Schizosaccharomyces pombe: one gene and its partner. The protein of the gene in region 2 interacts with the protein of the main gene of each other region in a pairwise test. Each region holds a gene or a part of one and is shown on either strand. Other genes may lie near its edges.

Evidence for each region.
Region 1: the proteins of rec15 (region 2) and mde2 interact in a two-hybrid assay, tested with the Schizosaccharomyces pombe proteins (one study listed by BioGRID).

Annotation. Positions count from the first base shown.
Region 1 is NC_003423.3:3,760,034-3,766,209, forward strand, and holds mde2 (protein Mde2), read left to right. Parts: upstream 1-4,786; coding exon 4,787-5,404; exon of another isoform or gene 5,405-5,457; coding exon 5,458-5,676; downstream 5,677-6,176. Other genes in the region: protein mug37, read left to right, coding at 1-247, 318-583; ADP-ribosylation factor Sar1, read right to left, coding at 918-1,261, 1,519-1,624, 1,674-1,796; protein lsb5, read left to right, coding at 3,137-4,051; mediator complex subunit Med10, read right to left, coding at 5,814-6,176.
Region 2 is NC_003423.3:2,155,279-2,168,640, reverse strand, and holds rec15 (meiotic recombination protein Rec15), read right to left. Parts: upstream 7,155-13,362; 5' UTR 7,100-7,154; coding exon 6,895-7,099; exon of another isoform or gene 6,846-6,894; coding exon 6,508-6,845; downstream 1-6,507. Other genes in the region: ATP-dependent RNA helicase Prp16, read right to left, coding at 1-2,382; pwp1 (WD repeat protein), read right to left, coding at 2,813-4,363; SPOM_SPBC1711.15C (uncharacterized protein), read left to right, coding at 6,430-6,528; histidinol dehydrogenase His2, read right to left, coding at 7,405-8,724; ppp16 (acylpeptide hydrolase), read right to left, coding at 8,965-11,016; atg2402 (autophagy associated protein), read right to left, coding at 12,196-13,362. UniProt on the Schizosaccharomyces pombe protein: Required during the early stages of meiosis for meiotic recombination.

The DNA of each region.
Region 1 (6,176 bases), 1.6 Mb from region 2:
GAAAAACGCGATATTCAATTTCTAGAAAACGACAAGTTGGACCTGAATTCTCATGAGAACGAAGGCGAAAAAACTAAAACTGAAACAGTACCTACGCGTAAACAGTTTCCAAAAGTTGGAGAATTTAACTCCGCAATACACGGTCTTTCTTCGGAAAGTGTTTTGAGAACATGTTTTCGTGTAGGAGAAGTCTTAGCAGTATTCAGGATGAAACGAAGAGATGTATGCATTATAGTTGAATTTTTTGGTAAGGTCTATTATGTTTGCTCTCAATATATGTTGGTTTTATTGCATAAAAATGAAATCTAACGTTATAGCAAAAGTGCGCTCTGCAAAAAAAGTCGGCAATGTCATCCTCTACTACTTTGAAGACGCATTTCGTGGACAAAAATCACCAGCGATATTTGCTAAATATTACTCATGTTGCGAAATATCGCCTCTTTTAACTAAACCGGCAACTATGATCAGAGTGGTTGGAATCGTCTCTCATGCCGAAAAGATTTTAAAAGTGATACACATAGCTAGCTCGGATTTAGATGAATTATGGGACACTTACAATATGGTGCTCTACGAAACTTTATAGATTATCATCTATATATGATCATATTCACAAAAGATAAGTAAATATCTCTGAAGAACCAATAATCAAGCTTTAGAATCACAACTGAAAAAAATGGGCTAACGGATAATACACAATACGTTATCAGCATAGGAGCATACTGCAAAGTCAGTAAAGACAAATGCTCCGTAGATGAAAACAATTGACCGCACGAATATCATATAACAAAAAAGACTTGTCATCAAGTTTGTAAATCTGAATTGGGCGAATCTATGTAAGCGCTGAGCAAACAATTAGGGAAATTTGGAACGGGCGTCATTCAAAGTGAAAGGTTTTTAAGAGGATGCAATGGGGTAACTTAGACGTATTGAGCAAGCCACTTGAAGCCTTCGCCATAACCTTGGCGAAGGACCACCGAGCACATGAATACTTCGATAGGTCGGATTCCAGGAACGGGTTTAGACACGCCCTTACCAGTGGTCTGATAAAGTCCAAGGGCCGCCTTGAGTTCATCTTCAGAAATAGCACCAGGGGCATCGATTTTATTGCCAAGAATCAAAAAGGGGACGCGAGCAAGTTCTTCCATGGCCAATAAGGCATCTAGTTCGGCCTTTGATTCAGAAAGGCGTTCAAAGTCACAGCAGTCAACCAAGTAAACAATGCCATTAACCTCGGGGAAATAATCTCTCCACAAGCGGCGAGCTATAAGAAAATTAGTAAAAATACATAAAATCAGATAGAGAATCCAAAATCATAGAAGAAATTGCAAAGAAAAAACAAAGATCATGAGAACAAAACGGCCCACTGATAAACTAGCCAACGACATATGAGACGATATAGAAATTCAAACAACTTTATACAAAAAAGAATTTTAAGCGAAAAAAAATTAATTATTCTAAAGACATTCCAACTCTTACAAAATCTCCATGATTTAGAAAAACAACTCTGTGACTACATACCCTGTTGATGACCTCCCAAATCGAAAGTAGTAAATCGAACGTTGCCAATAGCCAGTTCTTCTGAAGTAGGATGTAAAGTTGGTTGCATTACAGCTAAACGGTCATTCTAAATAATTAGTATAAGGATAATCAAGGAGAGTAGAAGTCAAACATACTTTCAGCATGTGTAGCAAGGTGGTCTTTCCGGCGTTATCTAAACCCAAAAACAGCATCTTGGCATGCTTGTTGACAAGACCAAGCATGGCAAGAGCATCGTAGAACCAGTTAATGATAAACATTGGTGTAAGATGGATGGATTTTCTGAAAACCTGTTATGCTCAGTGTGTTGGTGGTTGGCAAGAGATGACTTACCTCATGCCTAGTTATACTAATTTTCTCTAGGTAACCGAAAATAAGTAGTTAAAGAAAATATTTAATTAATGTACGTATGAAATGAAACTGAATAATTACATATAGTTCAAATTTGGAAGCTTCTCTATGCTTTTTTCTAGTAGTAAGTATGAAGAGAACGATTTTGGCGATTTCTAATTTACATGTTTACGTTTGCTTAAATTAACTATTAATGAATTCGTCTCAATACAATTTCTTTCGGTTTGAAAAGAATAAAGGATGATAGCTTTCAGCTTTTCGTTTAAATAAAATTCGACTAGTAATTTACCATTTCTAAAATTTGTAACTATAAACATGTTATGTATTTGCACTACGCTCAGTTAATAACAGGGCGCAATAGACAAATTGAGAAAAACGGTAAATAAATGTATAAAAGAATTGAATGAATAAAACAATGCACACTTACAACAGTTGGGTTAGAATTACAAAAAAAAAAAATTCACGTAGGCTAACTGTTTTTAATATTAGCTTTTGAGATTAGAAGTAACTTTAATTTCTAAAAGTTTTCTGGATTTCTTTTTTTATAAATCTTACAAATTGTGACATCGGCCTTTCGTAGTTTATAGATATATTATACGAATATATATACATATATTTTTGTTTCTATGTATACGGTGGGTGATACAGGAATTTGTGTTTTATATTTAAAACATATAAATTCAATAATACTCATTTATTCAAAAAAATTTTTTTTTAAGCTAGTTTTTTTCATAATAAGTTGTTAATAACTATCATTTAATTATTACTTAATATTATTCCGGCATACAGAATTAGTAAATATCAGCTGAGAATCTATATCTACAGGATATTTTGCTAGCAAATAAATTAACAAAAATTGCATAATCTTCTCTAAAATTCAAGCATCAATTTTCGGGTTAATTTATGATCTTTTTCATTCTTCATTTCGTTAATTATTTTTGTATCACAACTTTGGAACGTAGTGTAATATGATATTCTTTATCTATACGACACACACCAAAATCCTTCTTCTTTTTGCAAATATAGACAACTTTTCTATTCGATAGCTTTAAAACTTCATAAAATTTTACTTGAAAGAACAACCAGAAGGTACTACTTTCGTTTATTGGAAGGTCCGTTTACAATCGATTGAAAATTATTCCTTGCTGCTATATATTTTCAGACTTTAATTTGTTCCATCAAGCCATCAAACACTCAAGCTATCATTATCTCAGTGAATAATTAAAATCACTATTTCATCTTATTTATAATGGGAATTTTCAGTGAAACAGTTCCAATTACTGCTGTCACCACTTATATCGATCGTTTAACCTCTAGAGATACCGACGATGAGGATTTGTCTGGTATCGTTCAATTATCTGAAGCCGTTAATTTAACTGTTACTGGTCCGCGAGAGGCTTCTCGTACCCTTCGTAAGAAGTTAAAGTACAGTACACCTCATGAACAAGTTCGGGCACTTGTTATTCTCCAGGCTTTAATTGAAAATGCTGGCTCTCATTTTTTACAAAATTTCTCAGACGAAAAATTGGAAGACCGAATGTTGCAATGTGCAACAAATTCTGAATATTCTAAACCCGTTCGTAAGCGTGCTATCCATATGATCAAACTTTGGCACAATGACTATTCTAATGTTCGTGGAATGGAAAGCATGAGTAGTTTAGTATCTCGACTTCCTCAACGACAATCATCTGCTTCGCATTCTGAACAACCCACTATCAATCTTAAAAAGGTTGGTCCAATTTTAGAAAGATTGATAGCCTCTTCCAGCATGGCTGCTACCAATCTTTCTAATAGCCTTGTCCGAATCAATCCTAACACAGAAAATCCGGCCAAAAACAAGCAAATCATGGTTTATTATGTGGATTGTAAACGTGCTCATCGCTCCTTGTTGCGCTACATACAAGCTATTCAAGACGAGATGTGGTTAGCCAATCTCTTGAAGGCAAACGATGAAATTGTGACAGCCATTGATGCATTCAAGGAAAAATGCTCCGAAAACTCAGATTATAGTTCAGATAGTGGATCCTATAGTTCTTCATATTCTCGTCACCTTGATGATCGGGCTTCTTACATATCTCGCTCGAGTAGCGGAGGTTCTAATGCTCAGAGATCAGAAGATTTGGATGTAAACAATCCTTTTGGCGATCATAATCGTTTGGAATAATTAATAAGCTTTCCTTTTTAATGGATTTGAATACCTAATTAATTGGTAATGATCGATTGATATCAAGGGGTGCGAAGGTTAAAAAGCATTTCATCTTGCCTTCAACATCTTCTTAATGATTCTACCTTCCATCTCTTTAATATGAGTGCCTTATTTATCTTGGACAATTATAATTTTTTAAGATTATGAGTCTTTTAGTTGGGTCATGCACTAGATATATATTACTGTATTCGACTTATTAGATACAATCCCTTTTTAGTCAACCTTTTAGCAACCGTGCGCCTTTGTTTATATTATTGCCAATTTTATTGCGTTTAACTGATAAGGTGTTTAATTAATTTATTTTTTTTGCACACTAGTTGTAGTCAATCTTTGTAAGTAACGCGCTTTAAAAAATGTTTTCTTTTAATTAACATAATTTAAAAAGTAAAGTTGTTTTCGAGATATCTAAAGCCATTATAGTATACCGTCCATCTCAAAAAAGCAGCACAACATTATTTATGTAAAATGGATGCATACATGCTTAATTTTAACCGTCAAATAATACAAAAAACAAATACATAACATTTTAACCAATTAAATAGAGAATTTGGTATCCTAAATTTGTAGCCACTTAAAAGGCATTCGTTCGTGAGTTTGTTTGTTTACATTCCATACCATACTACTAAGACAACAACCAAAGTGAATGGGTAATTCAAGACTAAAAGAAAAGAGGATCACGGAAATTAATTAAAAATGGAAAATTATACCAAATCCACAACCATGTGTGGAAAAAGAAAACCAACATTTGAGATTTATCGGGAAAGCGACTTTTCCAAAATAACAAATCAAGGAACTGTGACAGCGTTTGACATTATTTCAAATAAGGAAACATTTTCTGAAAGTAAACAATTAAAGAAAGCTAAGTCTCGAAACGTTACTTTAGTAGATAAGAATACAAAAGCCGATAAAAGATACAAAAGTGAGAAGCTATCAGATTACCTTCTTAACCAAGAACACCATAAAAACTCTCCGAAAATCATCAATGATGTGCTTGTTATAGGAAAAAGTGATGGTTTAATAAACTCGTTTCCATTAAGCCAAAATTATATATCTTCCAGTGAAAGCCAAACATCCTCTGGTAATGTCGATATTATTGGCAATGATAACTCACATGCATCTCCTTATTTACCCAAGTTTGAGCTAAAATCACAAAGTCAGTCCAACCATTCGAACGTTGTAAAAAACCAACCGATCAAATTGTGTAAAAAAACTGAGGGAGGTACTAATCTCGACCATAATAAATCAATAAATGGAGCCGTGAAATCAGGGACATCAAAATCAGCAAACAAAGACAGAATTTATGTTTTCTACGTAAGCAAATAATTTTTTGTAAAGGAATTTAAGCTAACAAGTTTTGGGTCAAGGAAGATGAAGAAGTGATGGAGTATCGTTACATATTTGGATCTCGTATGCAAACGAAAAATCATGATATCAATGCAAATAACAAAAGAAAAATTTTCTATCAAAACTCATTTTCGAACTTTCATTTGCTCCATAAAATTATACAGCCGAATTATGAACCTGCGTCAGCTGAGGAACGAAAGTTGTGCATTGAAATTTTAGATGAAGTTTTACAGTACTAGTTAATAATTCAGAATTTCCCCTTTTTAATTCAATGATAGATACTGTAGGTAAGCAGGTAGCTGAATTATCGGTAAGAGTTGTACGCTTTTTCATACCTCAAAAAAATCCGAAATCATTAATTTTGACTATGGTGCAATCATGAAACTGTAGATTCGACTTTTCCCTCGTTTAAAATTTTATCAACCACACTTGATACCTCAGGATAAGCCTGTTTAATTTCTTCGGCAAAAGCCTTTTGAAATCCCTCTATAGCATATAGCTTCCCGTTGACATACTGATTATCTTTTTGAACCAATTCACTGAATTGTCTAGCATATACATCTGGATTTCGACCTTGTTCAATATATTCCAAGACGTCTTGAGGGATTAAGTTATTCACCTTTCTAGATATGTCAGGAAGAGATTTGAGATCTCTGATAAGAGTATCAAGGCTTTCAGGAATGGCATCAGATGGAGTAGTATCTTCAAGGTTATAAACGATCAATGCCAAGTCATAAAA
Region 2 (13,362 bases):
CTTAGAATTATACATTTTCAGTTTACAATATCCAGTATCTACAACATATGATATTCCGTGCACAGTGAGCGAAGTTTCCGCAATATTAGTTGCGACCACAACCTTTCTAACACCTGGCTCGGCGGAATCAAAAATTTTTGCTTGTAAATCCGCAGGCATTTGTGAGTAGATAGGCAAAATGGACAAGCGTGGTGCATCATGCAACTGATTTAACCTATCTGCAATGATCTCGCATGTAGCTTCAATATCTTCCTGCCCTGTCATAAAAACTAAGATATCACCTGCAGGCTGAGAGAGGTGAATCTGCAATACCTGTCGTACAGCTGCTTCAACGTAATCAGAGCAAGGGGCTTTAGCAAACATAATATCCACCGGGTAAGTACGACCTGGAATTGTAAACTGTGGGGCGCCTCCAAAAAAATCAGAGAATTTCTGGGAATTCATAGTAGCGGATGTAACGAGCAACTTGATATCTCTTCTCCTGGATAACACCTTTTTTAGTAAACCCATTAAAATATCTGTATTAAGGGATCGCTCATGTGCTTCATCCATTATAATGACGCTATATTTTTCTAGATTATTTTGCATCAAGGATTCTCTTAGTAAAACACCGTCAGTCATGTACTTAATTACGGTATCCGGTCCAGTAACATCTTCGAAACGAATTGAATAACCAACTGTTGAACCTAGACGAACACCCATTTCCTCACTAACCCTTTTTGCAACTGACATGGCGGCGACACGACGAGGTTGAGTACACCCTATCATGCCATTTCTATGATAGCCATCCTCATATAAGAATTGAGCTAATTGGGTAGTTTTACCAGAACCAGTCTCACCAACTACAATAAGAACTTGGTTATCACGTATAACAGAAAGAAGCTGTTCACGCACGGCAAAGGCAGGTAGGAACTCTCTTTGTTCTCTATATGATTTCGTGCGAGCGAACTCAGTATCCTTCTTATTCGACTGTTCAGAACGTCCAGCTACTTTAACAGGTGTGGTACCGGCCTTGGCATCTTCATCATTAGAATCTTTGAGACCCATCACGTTACCCAAAGATGTACCAGCAAGGGATGTAGCAGCACTTGCTGCTTTTTGACGCTCCCGAAATTCTCTTCGTTCACGTACAAGACGAGATCCTAATCTAGCATTTATTGCAAGGTCGCTTTGTGGATCTCGAACCGATGTAATATCACCGACTTTCTTAGAAGAAAATTCGGCCCCATCCAAAAAATGAGGACGCAGTTCATCGACAAGCAAGTGAACACGCCTCTCTTCCATAAGGGAGTAATCAGATTCGAGCCCTGGAGCTTTTGAAACACCAGATGTGATCATTCTATTTTTTTCCCACATAGAATTTTCTTTAAATCTGTCTGATGCTTCAATTGACAAATGCTTTTTCTGCTTTTCGATAAACTCAGCTTCATGTGCACGATCTTCGACAGTTTCAAAATCGGAGAATGGATTGTGAACTTCATCGCCAAGTAAATTTTGCGACTCGGAATTCATGTACCAATCACGATCCAAGTGAGCTTGCTCCTCTTCCCAACGTTGACGATCAGCTTTACTCTCGGGATCTTCTTCGGGGTACTCAACGTCGCGGGCATCCCAAGAGCTGTGTGCACCATAAGAATAATCACTATCGTGCGAATATTTAGAGCTATCGACGTCTCTTCGAGAACCATTACCAAACCGATTTCTGCGTTTTGAGGATAAAGGTTCTTCCATTTGAGTTCGATACCGCCGACGATTAGATCCATTGGAAGACTCGAAATTACTTCCAGACCAGCTAGAATAAGAATTTCTACGATATTTATCATCTTCACTTTCAAACTCTTGATGATCGTCAACAGATGACCGTTGACGAAGGGGACGAAAATGTTTTTCATGTGGATTTTTAGGTCTCTTAAATTCCACCCTGTCATAGTTTCCTATAGACTCCAAGGAATCATTTTCTACTTGGGATAATTCAGAGCGCCCTTCTACTTGAGATTTCTCTTTCTTTTTTTGAACAGCAAGAACATCCAATCCAAGCTGGGATTTTTTGGGTTCTCGGCCTTTCAAACCAGAACGATTAGACAAAACTAATCCAGCTACCTGAGACCCATCATTCCCAGGAAGTTTATCTTTAGAAATCCCCAAATTTGTCTCTAAACCAATTATAGATTTGCATAAATCGTAAATAAGGACGCTGTCATTATCGGAAAATCGTCCAAATGTATGTAATGCATTAGAAAACTCGGTGCTGGACGAGCTACCCTTGGCAATTGTCAAAACTCGACTGGCAAGCGATGTAGCTGCATCTTTACTGGACATATAATCAGTTAATTTATCTATTAACTTCGTAAATAGCAAATCATTTTGATTATGTGAAAGCATACCTACTAAATCAATAAGGTTGCTGGCGGAAGGCGAACTTACTCAGACCCTCCGGCCCCCCAAAGGTGCAAAATCATGAACCTGAGTAATTGACAATTAACAATTTATCAGTACTTCAATGTTTAAATAAAAATTGTCATATGAATTAAAAGAATTGTTAGGCAAAATTTACCAAGTAACGGTAAACCCAATATACACTTAATGCATACATTTGCTACTCCACTAATGTGGATGAATTTACTAAAGTTTAAAGACCATCATACACCAAATCAAATGAAATTTATTGTAACTAACCTGATCCCTTTTTTCCAAATATTGAATTATGCAAAAAATCCTCTATACAATTAGTGAGCCCTTTAAACCCATGAAGCGGCCTCTTAGGAGAGTTTTTGAAAACATGAAGCTATAATCTTAAAATAAATCAAGAGAATTAGGACATCTCAGCATCTTGATCATCATCGTCTTCTATATCTTCATAGTCATCATCATCAGAAGAGTCCTCCCCGGCACCTCTGTCTTCTAACTGAACGATGCGCTCTTTTTTAGTAACTTCCTCAGTAACTCTACTTTCAAACGCTTTTCGAACACCAGGATTAGTTGCAGTGTCCCAGACACGAACGACTCCTTTGCTTCCGGAGGCAGCTAGATGGAAAGCAGTTGATTCGTCCGTAGTAAAGGAGCAAGTAAACACACGTCCAACATCCAAATCTCTAGAAACAACCATCTTCGGTGAACTATCGGAAGTGTTCCAGAGTTTAACCACTCTATCAGTGGAGCCTGTGGCTACAAAAGAAGGAACCGAAGGATTAACACTGAGACAAGAAATAGGTCCATCATGGGCTTGCAATTGCCAAACGGACTTTGAGAGATTTCTAGCATCGCAATAATAAACTATGCCATTATCAGTGCCAATGAAAAAGTTGTTTTCGCTATGTTGATCCCAGGCAACATTTTCAACATCGCTAGTAACTTGAAAACTCGATGGAGCTTCTTCAAGGCGAAGGTCAGCTATTTTTGCAGTTTTATCATAACTACCTGACAATAATACGGATGGAGCTTTGGAATACCAATCTAAGCAAGAAACTTTGTCAGAATGATACGTGAAAGATTTGACACAATTGCATGTGCTCAAATCCCACAACTTTAGTGTGGTATCTGCAGAACCAGAAACCAAAAGATTGTGAGCATTTCGGTTCGAAGAAAGAGCAAGAACAGCATCTGTGTGATAACTATCATTTATTTTTTTAGACTTCTTCTTTTTCTTGTTGACTTGAGAGGCACCTGCACCCAACACGGCTGCAGGGTAAACTGCATCAATGATGTCTAAATCCCATATTTCAATTTCAGGATCAAACGTGCCGACAGCAACGTAATTTCCAGGAGCGTTGTCAGACGTACCCACCTTATAATCTAGCCATTCGAGACACAGAGGAAAGGTAGGGAGAAGAAAATCATGATGCACGTAAAGATTTTCCTCTGTTGGCTCATATACATACACTTCAACGTGGGACAAGTTATCTTCTGTGCGCGCAGCTAGCAAAAGGCTGTCTGTTGGTAATATTTGCATTTCCTCTCTTTCCAAATCGTCCTGTTCCTGAGGATCAATAGTGATATATGGATCTTTTTCTCCATTTTCATGGTAAGCCAATCCACGAATGTTGCTAAACATAGCAGCGGGCCCTTCTGTCTCAGCTTCCTCCTCATCGTCATCGTAAGTATCCAAATTGTATACTTTCAATTCATCATCTACCTCTTCACTTGTTTGCAACACCCCTTCTGCTCCATCTGTAGTTTCTTCACCGTTCCCATTGGCTTTATTTGAGTCTTCCATAGAAGATTGGAGATCAGCTCGAGCATCCTCGAGCTTTAACTTTGAAAGCTGATTAATTCGCTCATACTCTATCTCATCAATATCGTAACTCTTGGGAAACTCTGATGCATAACCGCGAGGAACAAAAGCCACAGACGAGACTATTGACATGTTGCACCTCTCTTAATATTTACTCCGCAAATCTTTACTTTAATGTTTAAACCAGAAAACACACCACTCTTGATCTAAACGAGATTAAAAATTTAAAGATTAAGTAAATGTCAACGTATTGATACGAGTAAATAATGGCATAAATCGTGCACCGCTACTTGGGAAAAGAAGAACTGAAAATATTCGTGTCTTACAAAAAACGTTATTTAACCGTTTAGCGTAAACCTGCGTTAAATTAGATTTCAAAACTTAAGAAAACATTTTTCTTCGACCAAAAGGCCATAACGTTCATGTAGATAAACTAAATGCGTTAACTTAATTTACGTCAACAAGTATTTTTACTCATCGTAAATTCAAGTTAATGTCAGTTACGCAATTTGGTATCTGTTTAATGATACATTGAACTACGGCGAGTATTTCTTACGAGCTACGATGTAACGGTATGCGGTATGTTAAACTAACTAACATGTAAGCTACGCAGTTTGGTATCTGATTTAAGGATACGTAGAACTGCGGTGAGTTTTCCTTGTGATCTATTATATTACAATACACAGGTTGTATAAGTAGCAACTGAGAATAGGTATTGTATTAACTGGGTTATAATGTTACCTATCACTAATATAGCTCATAACTGAACCTCGTTCCTCAGTTCAGCAGTAGCTCTATTTATATTATTCAGATAATATAGATCTTAATAGATCATCATTAAGATCAATCTCAATATCGTATCATACATGGTACGATATATAATTAGAACATGTGACATATAGTGATACGCAAGTAGTGTATCATAGCGTAGTGTAGTATTGCTGACATAACAATATTTATTTGAGAAATCTAATAGCATCGGTCACTAAATTTTTTAGTCTTTCTAATATTTGTATTTGTTCTCACTGGTGTCTAAGTAAAATTAATGGATCTTAAAATTTGTTTCCAACATATAAAATCAGTCGCACGCAACACAGTGTAAACACTTCTAACAGTACGTTGCATAAGAATACTAAGTTGAGTGAATTAAAAGGGCGGTAACAATATGAGTGTCAGAAGCATCACATTAAGATGGAGTTTGGAATTTTTGGTTTTTACTTAACTTTTAAATGATTTCAAGATTGAATAAACACAAAACAATACTTTGAATTTTATTAATTAATTTTATTGAATTTTTATATGGAGAAAAATTGCAATACTAGCTTCGTTAGAAAGTTTGTACGATAAATGCTACGGACGTATATTTGTGTATTGCCTGCTGTTTTCGTTTAATGTTGCAAAGAACACAAGTCAACTAATTTGCCGCAGCTCTAACTGCTGTAATCTATAAAGTTCGCTATACAACAAACGAACACAAGGAAACAAATAGTCACCTATAATTTTCTCTTCTTAAATTAGTCTTAATTTTTGGACTGAAACTTAAACAGTAAAACGAATAGCTTATAATATGAAAAGTTGTTTTAGAAGGGCAAAATGTTAGAAAAAGTTATCGATTACACAACAATAGGAAACTACCCTTTTACTATGATTTTGAGCAAAACCAGTAAACCAATCCATAAATCACAATATGTAGCTTTATTCATGCTTTTATCTTTTTTTTTTAACGAAAGCTTATGTTTAATAAGCTCGACTCTCGTATAGTTGATAAAAGCCGTCACGTTGTTTCGAAGCTATAAATTTGGCAAACCGCTAAACGTACGTAGTGCCATCAACGCTGAAAACAGCTATATTAGTGCATATAGATAATTTCGTAAAAATCTTTGAAGTTTTTTAAAAAGGACTGTCTATAAAAAATTTCAACTAGGTAGGTATTCAAAAATGAAAGAAACTGAAAATTCCTTGAATTCTATTGTGATGACAAAAGAAGAAGCTTAACATTTTATATAGGAAGTGCCGTCTGAGAGTTCTGCTCGGTGACCAAGCTAATTCATTCTGAGAAATCTTTGTAAACTCAAGGGGTTTTAGTATTCAATCATTTGGGCTTTCATAAGTCTATCAACAGTTTTTGCTCATTGCATACTAACAGCGTTTAGGCAAGTTTAATATGTGCTGAAAGTGAATATATTGCATCGCTCACTATGAAAAAACGGTTTGATTGGTGTTTAATTTTAATTGATATCATAGAAAAGCTTTTAAATGAGGCTGATCTAAGTATTTTAATAATCGTCATCTGCTAAGAAATCAATAGCCAGTACTCGCTTTTTCGTTGTTGTATTACTTCTGGGCATAGTTTGATTTTGTACTGTTCGTGTTTGTTTAGTAGTCATATAACGCTTTTTCAGCTCTGCATCTAGCTTTTTAGTGATTATAGTCATCTGGCTTGTGCAATCAGCTAGTGTTTTTGTATTACTGTTCTGTTCTTTTTGTAAAGCTTCAAATTTCAAATTCATATCTGACATGGTCTGTTCCAACTTATTGATACGACTGGCATAATCTTGAATCCCTAAGGCCACTTGCTGCATAGACATGTTTATTTGATTCAAAGATTGTAGTACTATTAAGTCAGACTTCCAACCACTTGGGAAATTCTAAATCTCACTTACCTAGTTGAGAATTTTGTTGTTGGACTTCACTAATAGATCGTCCTAGTTGACCGATCGTTTGATTAACTACCTCTTGTTTGGTATTCATTTCAGCCAAACAACTAGCAATTTGATTGCTCTGTGACTTTTGATGCTGTTGCATATCTTCGGCTTGCATTGCCAACTTGCGAGACCATAATTGAGCAGCTGAAACTGAATAACTCATTATTTAATGATCGTTTCCGTTAAAATTCCCGTAACGCTTAATTGCAGGTTTGGTTAAAGGGAATGTTCGTTTTCACTAGAAAAAAGTCGAGACACGCGACGCGACACCAACTAACTTCAGGTTGAATTAATGGATAATTACTCAGTATATTGGATGCCCATTCATACTATTAAAATTAAATTGAAAAATATAAAATAAAATAAAATAAATCATAACCTAAAAATACTTTGTCAAATTTAGTACCAAACACAAATTTTATTTTAAGCCGAATCCTTAATTAGGTATACGTAAAAAGGAAACCCCTTTCAAAGTCTAACTCCCCGAACACGAACAGCATCGGCATGCGCAGTGAGACCCTCCAACTCAGCAAGACGAATAACAGTAGGGCCCAACCGCTGGATTCCTTCTTCAGTGAGCTCTTGGGTAGTGATATATTTTAAGAAGCTATCGGTACTAACGCCAGAATAAGAAGAGGCGTACCCGTATGTAGGAAGCGTATGGTTGGTACCAGACGCATAGTCACCCATACTTACAGGTGACCAAGGACCAACGAAAACGCTACCAGCATTATCTATTTTGGGAATGTATGAAGAAGCATTTTTTAAGTGCAAGACCAAGTGCTCAGGACCATACAAATTAGACCATTCAAAAGCTTGATCAACATTGTCAACCTGTACAATAACCGACTTCTTGATAGCATGTTTGATGATATACGAACGAGAAAGTCGTAAAGCGTGATCATTAATTGCTTTTTGAATACGGTCAAACATTTCGGGAGATAGAGAGACAGTCAGCAAAATGATCTGACTGTCCAAACCATGCTCTGCTTGAGACAATAAATCCAAGGCAACACTTTCAGGATTACAGGTCTCATCTGCTATTACCAAAACTTCTGAGGGACCAGCAGGAAGATCAATAGCAACTAAAGCCCCGTAATCATTCTGAACATGCATCTTTGCAGCTGTAACAAATTGATTTCCAGGGCCAAAAATTTTGTTAACTTTAGGAACACCGGATATTCCATATGCCATGGCCGCAATTGCTTGCGCCCCGCCTGCCAAAATAATAGCCTCAGCACCAATTTTATTTGCAATATATACAATTTCAGGCGCAACCGTACCATCCTTTCGGACTGGCGTAGAAATCACTACATGAGGACAGCCAGCTACCTTCGCCGGAACTCCAAGCATCAAAGCAGTAGATGGCAACACTGCAGTTCCTCCAGGGATATAAAGACCAACTCGGTTAATAGGACGAGACATCCGTTGACAGACTACACCACGCATGGTTTGAACAGCAATTGTAGGACGCAGCTGTGATGAATGGAAAGCAAAAATATTGTTAAAAGCAATATCAATATCCTCTTTAATCATTGGGGATATTTTCATTAAGTCGTCGTCAAACGGAGCCTTTAAGACAGCCGACTTCAATTGAACCTTTTCAAATTTGGAAGCATAATCTATTAGAGAAGCTTCTCCTCTTGATTTAACATCCTCGATTATCGGTTGGACAATCGTACGAATTTTTTGAGTGTTCTGAATGGGTCTTGCAAGTAATCGTGTACGTTCTTCGGCGGTTAATGCAGCAGCTCTATAAGAAGGCACCTGAATCTCGTATTCCGGCATTATTAAGTAAATTAAAGGTAGTCAAGTCTAAATCGACTCTCTAAAAATTTAATGCAATGTTGGCTAAGGAATGGCTGGATCGGTGAATACTCGATTTCCCTTACAGCAAAGATCTAAATTTGATATGTCTTCGGATAAACCGCGGTTGCAACTTTTTATCCGCGGTAATAGAATTAACAAAGATCGAGAGAAACAAAAAAAAATTTATTAAATAATCGTAGTTGTATTATTAAAATTAATCTAAAACGTTTCATCTTCATTGGCATTACAATCTTTAGTATAGTGAAGAATCCACGAAAGCACTTCTTTATGCCAACGTAGGGAATTATCAGGTTTAATGACCCAATGGTTTTCGTCTTCAAAGACTAGTAATCTGCTAGGAATTCCCTTGTACTGCAAAACATTGAATGCGGCTATTCCTTCACTTTCGGTAAGCCTGTAATCCTTTGAGCTATGAATTACAAGTTCAGGAGTGGCCCAATAATTCACAAAATTTGAAGGATTCCAGCGCTCATAGATAACTCTGTTTTCCCAAGGAGTACCCCCAAAATCGTGAATAGAAAAATAAAGTTCTTCAGTATTGTAAAAAGTATTGAGGGTATTAAATACCCCGTCATGACATACAAGTGCACGAAATTGACGACCTAAAGGGTGTCCTTGAATCCAATTAATCATGTAACCACCATAGGAAGCACCTAAGGCAACCATTTTTTCAGAATCAGCATAGGAAAGATGATTTTTTATGTACTCAACACCAAGTTCAATATCTTTATATGGCTTACCACCCCAATCAAGAGCAATGGAATCGGTAAAACGTTGTCCATAACCTGTAGATCCAGTAGGATCAAGAGCAAATACAATAAAACCAGCATTAGCAAAAACTGCAGGATTCCAGCGCGTTGACCAACTATCTGTCCAAGAACCTTGAGGTCCCCCGTGTATAAGCACTGCTACAGGATATTTTTTAGATTTATCAAAACTTTCGGGCTTTACAATCCATGCATGAATTCTGTGACCATGAGTGCCAGGAAACCAAATTTCTTCATAAGAAGTTGGCGATAATCCGACATTGTTCTCGAGTAAAACACTTTCGTTTAACGTTTCAACGTTAATCTTTGCGTAATAAGGGGGATTGATTAAAGATGACTTCGTAAGCCATAAGGAAGAAGATTTAGGGACACTAATAGAAGAAACAGAGTGTTCTTCTGTCATTGGGATAACTTGGTGGTGAAATATAGAAACAAAAAACAAAATTTGCTTCCCATAATTCTCAGCAATAGCAAAAAGACCTGGTTCGCCTCCTTTGAAAACCCCCCATTCAATGCTGGAAGGCGATCGGTCCCAATGACGAGCAATGTGCTTTTTAGCGCCTGACTCGGACTCATATACCATTATTTGATTTTGATCGCTTTCGTACTGTGGTGTTTGCATTTCAAGCCATGCAATATGATTTCCATCTTTGGCTAGTCTTGGTGAAGAGCATGCACCCTTCGCAGTGCTCAATGACTTCAGATTCCGAGTGTTCAGATTAATCTCGTAAACAACTGTCTTTGTTTGTGTTGCCGGATTTAATTTCGGGTCTTTTGCTACAAAGACAAGTTTGTCGTAGTTAGAATCAAAGTCAGAAAGACCTCCGAAGGGTTCGACAGGAGATTCCAAGCCAGTTTCCTTCAACAAATCAATAGCTTTTTCTGAGGAAATTTCAAAATAATTTGAGTTTTCCGTTTTTTTATCTAGCTCTATAAAATAAAGGGTATTCCTAGATCCTGTGTTCCATCTATCCCAGTGTCGAACAAACAAGTGATCGTATACGTGAACATTTGAAGGTCCCTTAACTAACGAATTATCCACTGAACTAAAAACGATTCTATAGTGGTTGTTCTTTTCTCCGATCCTTATATCAGATATTGAAGAGTTATGATTATATATGATACGCTCTGATCGATTGTTAACGTCAAAAAGAAGGATACTCGATGAGCTAGAATTATCTTCTCTTGCATATAAAAAAGCTGAATCAGTAATCCATGTGAGCGCTTTGTTTGATTTGCCGTGTACTAAAAGCTCTTGATGGTTTCTAGTGCTTTCATTCAAAAGGTAAATTCCAGAGTTATATTTGTGATCAGCAAAGGAATAATTCGATTCTATAAATATTCCAAGATTCCCTAAAGGATTGCTAACTACTGCTGACCTTCTAGGAGCTTCTAGCATGGATTCCGCATCAAATGCAGCCTTGTCAGCTGCAGTTAGCGTCATTACCAGGAAAAAAACTAGCTGCTTGAAAAGACTATGCATCCAAAAAAATATATTCTTTGACCAGAGTGAGGTGAATTCTAAGGAATTTGCATGAAGGGGAAAGGAAATTTATCTTGCAAAGATTACCAACCCATCTGACGAAGATATGATTATATATGATGACTTTATAAACTCCCAGCATAGTGTTAGCGTGCAGCCCTTTGTAAAGCGTTGGGCTGCGTTTGTACTGATAGGTGATGGTTTAAATTCATGTTACAATAATAACAATTTCTTTATTATTGAATATTTCTAAAACAATTTTCATCAGTATATTTAACTTGAAATACCAAGACATCTCAACAAAACATGTTATTGGGCAAATAGTCATAGTGAATATCTGCTAACTTATAATCTTTATCCTATTAATGTCAGTTATGGTAAATCTCTGATAATATTTGTTTAAATAGACATCATTTTATAGTCTTATAAAAATTTTACAGATCTTCAACTTCTACCGAATAATGAGAATTGAAGAACTTTAATGAACCCATCAGTTATTTCTAAAAAGTATTGTAGTGTGTGAAGTCCTCATCAAAAATGCAAAATTCAAACCACTCAATTGAAATTACTTGTATTATTATATAGATCAATCATGTTTGAGAAGCATAGTTTGAGATATAAATCACTGTCATCCTTCGGACGGAGATGACTATAATCTTATAAAATTAAAGCAGAACAGGGAAATGCATATACTTAAAAAAAGGCACAGAAGATTTTATTGTTAGTACAAAACCTATACTGTTGATAATCCCTCTTTACTGAGCTATATTTTTTTAAAGCTCAGAACAAAATAAAATCTATGCACAACAGAAAGAAGTAAGTACGAAGGAGACATCATCCATTCCTTTAGCAAAGAAAGAAACAATTCCACGTTGGGAAGTTTAAAGTTGTCTAAGAATTATAGAAATGTCATTACATTTTTGCATTCCTTGTACTTTAATTTGAGAACATGAGCAAATTTAACGAAAATTAATAAGTCATGTTTTCGACTGCATAAAAAAGTAATAAATTAATCTCAGATTCGTAAATTTTCATTAATATTAGTTCAAGTCGCATAAAAAATATCGTAAACATCACACATTGTAAAACAAACGTTAAAGCATCATACGCCAAGTTATAAAACACTTACTTAAAAACTCAAAAGCCTCTATACAGTAGTAGGTTAATAACGAGGAACTATTATTCCTTCACGGCATGCTGCTCAAGAATACCAGAAAAATATTCCACATGACAATCGCAAACCATTTGTAATGTCTTACGCATTTCAACATCGATACGTTCGCGTAGAAAATTTAACTCTTGCTCAAGTTTTTCGTTGAAAATGCATAATTCTTGAAACGATAATTGAAGCAACTCCATGGGATTAGCATCGTCTTGACCTAATGAGTACCGCTTTTTTTTAAAAAATTTTGGAATACTGAATAAACTCGAGGTACGTATAGTAGTGTTGGGCGACGGTTTAAGCTCAGGTGTCTGCTGCACAACGGGAGTGGCTTCTACAAAGTTTGGGTCAGATCGTGATGATTGATCAGGGTTATTAGAGTTAGATTGAACGATTTGTTGGAAATGTTCAAATTGCTTCACCTTTTGTTCACGAGATTTGATCAAACTCTTAAAAACCACCATGTAATCTTCCAAATCTTGAATAGATGTAATTACCTTAGAATGAAAAGAGTTTATTAAAAAAATGCTGTTTCTCTTTAGTCTTTTAAATTCTACAGAGACAACATCGAGGTTACTGATGCTTAAATTAGAAGGGACAGGAATATCAGTAGGAAAATTTTGAACACTATTCATGTATTGAACACAGGTTTTCTCCAACTTTGAGAGATCCGTATCCGCATTTTGGAGAAGCTGTTTTGCTGTTTCATACAAGCTTTGAGCATACGGGTCTAAGTTTTGAATTGATGATTCAATTCCTCCGGATACGTTATTGCCCTTGGACTTAGTGTTTTCGGATTGCATCCACGCGTTATGATAATAAGATTTCCAAGAGTTATTTTCCAAAAATTGATACATATGCATAGAATTGGAAATTACAGGGTGTGTGGAGCATCGATCCAGAAACGTTTGGAGGGATTGCATTCGACGAGCAATGAATATGGGAGATAATGAACCACCAGAGAAAGAACTAACAGTATATTTTCTCGGTAGCGGAGGGATTGCATAACCATTATAATCATGGCTCAAAATATTATGAAGCATCTCAAAATCCTTATATCTCCGACGAACAGAGAACTTTTTATCTTCAAAAACTGGCAGATCCGATTCAGTCTCAATTTCATAAGAGACGAATGTATCTCCGCTTCTTAAAGTTTCGATTTGCTCATTTTTAATTGTACATTT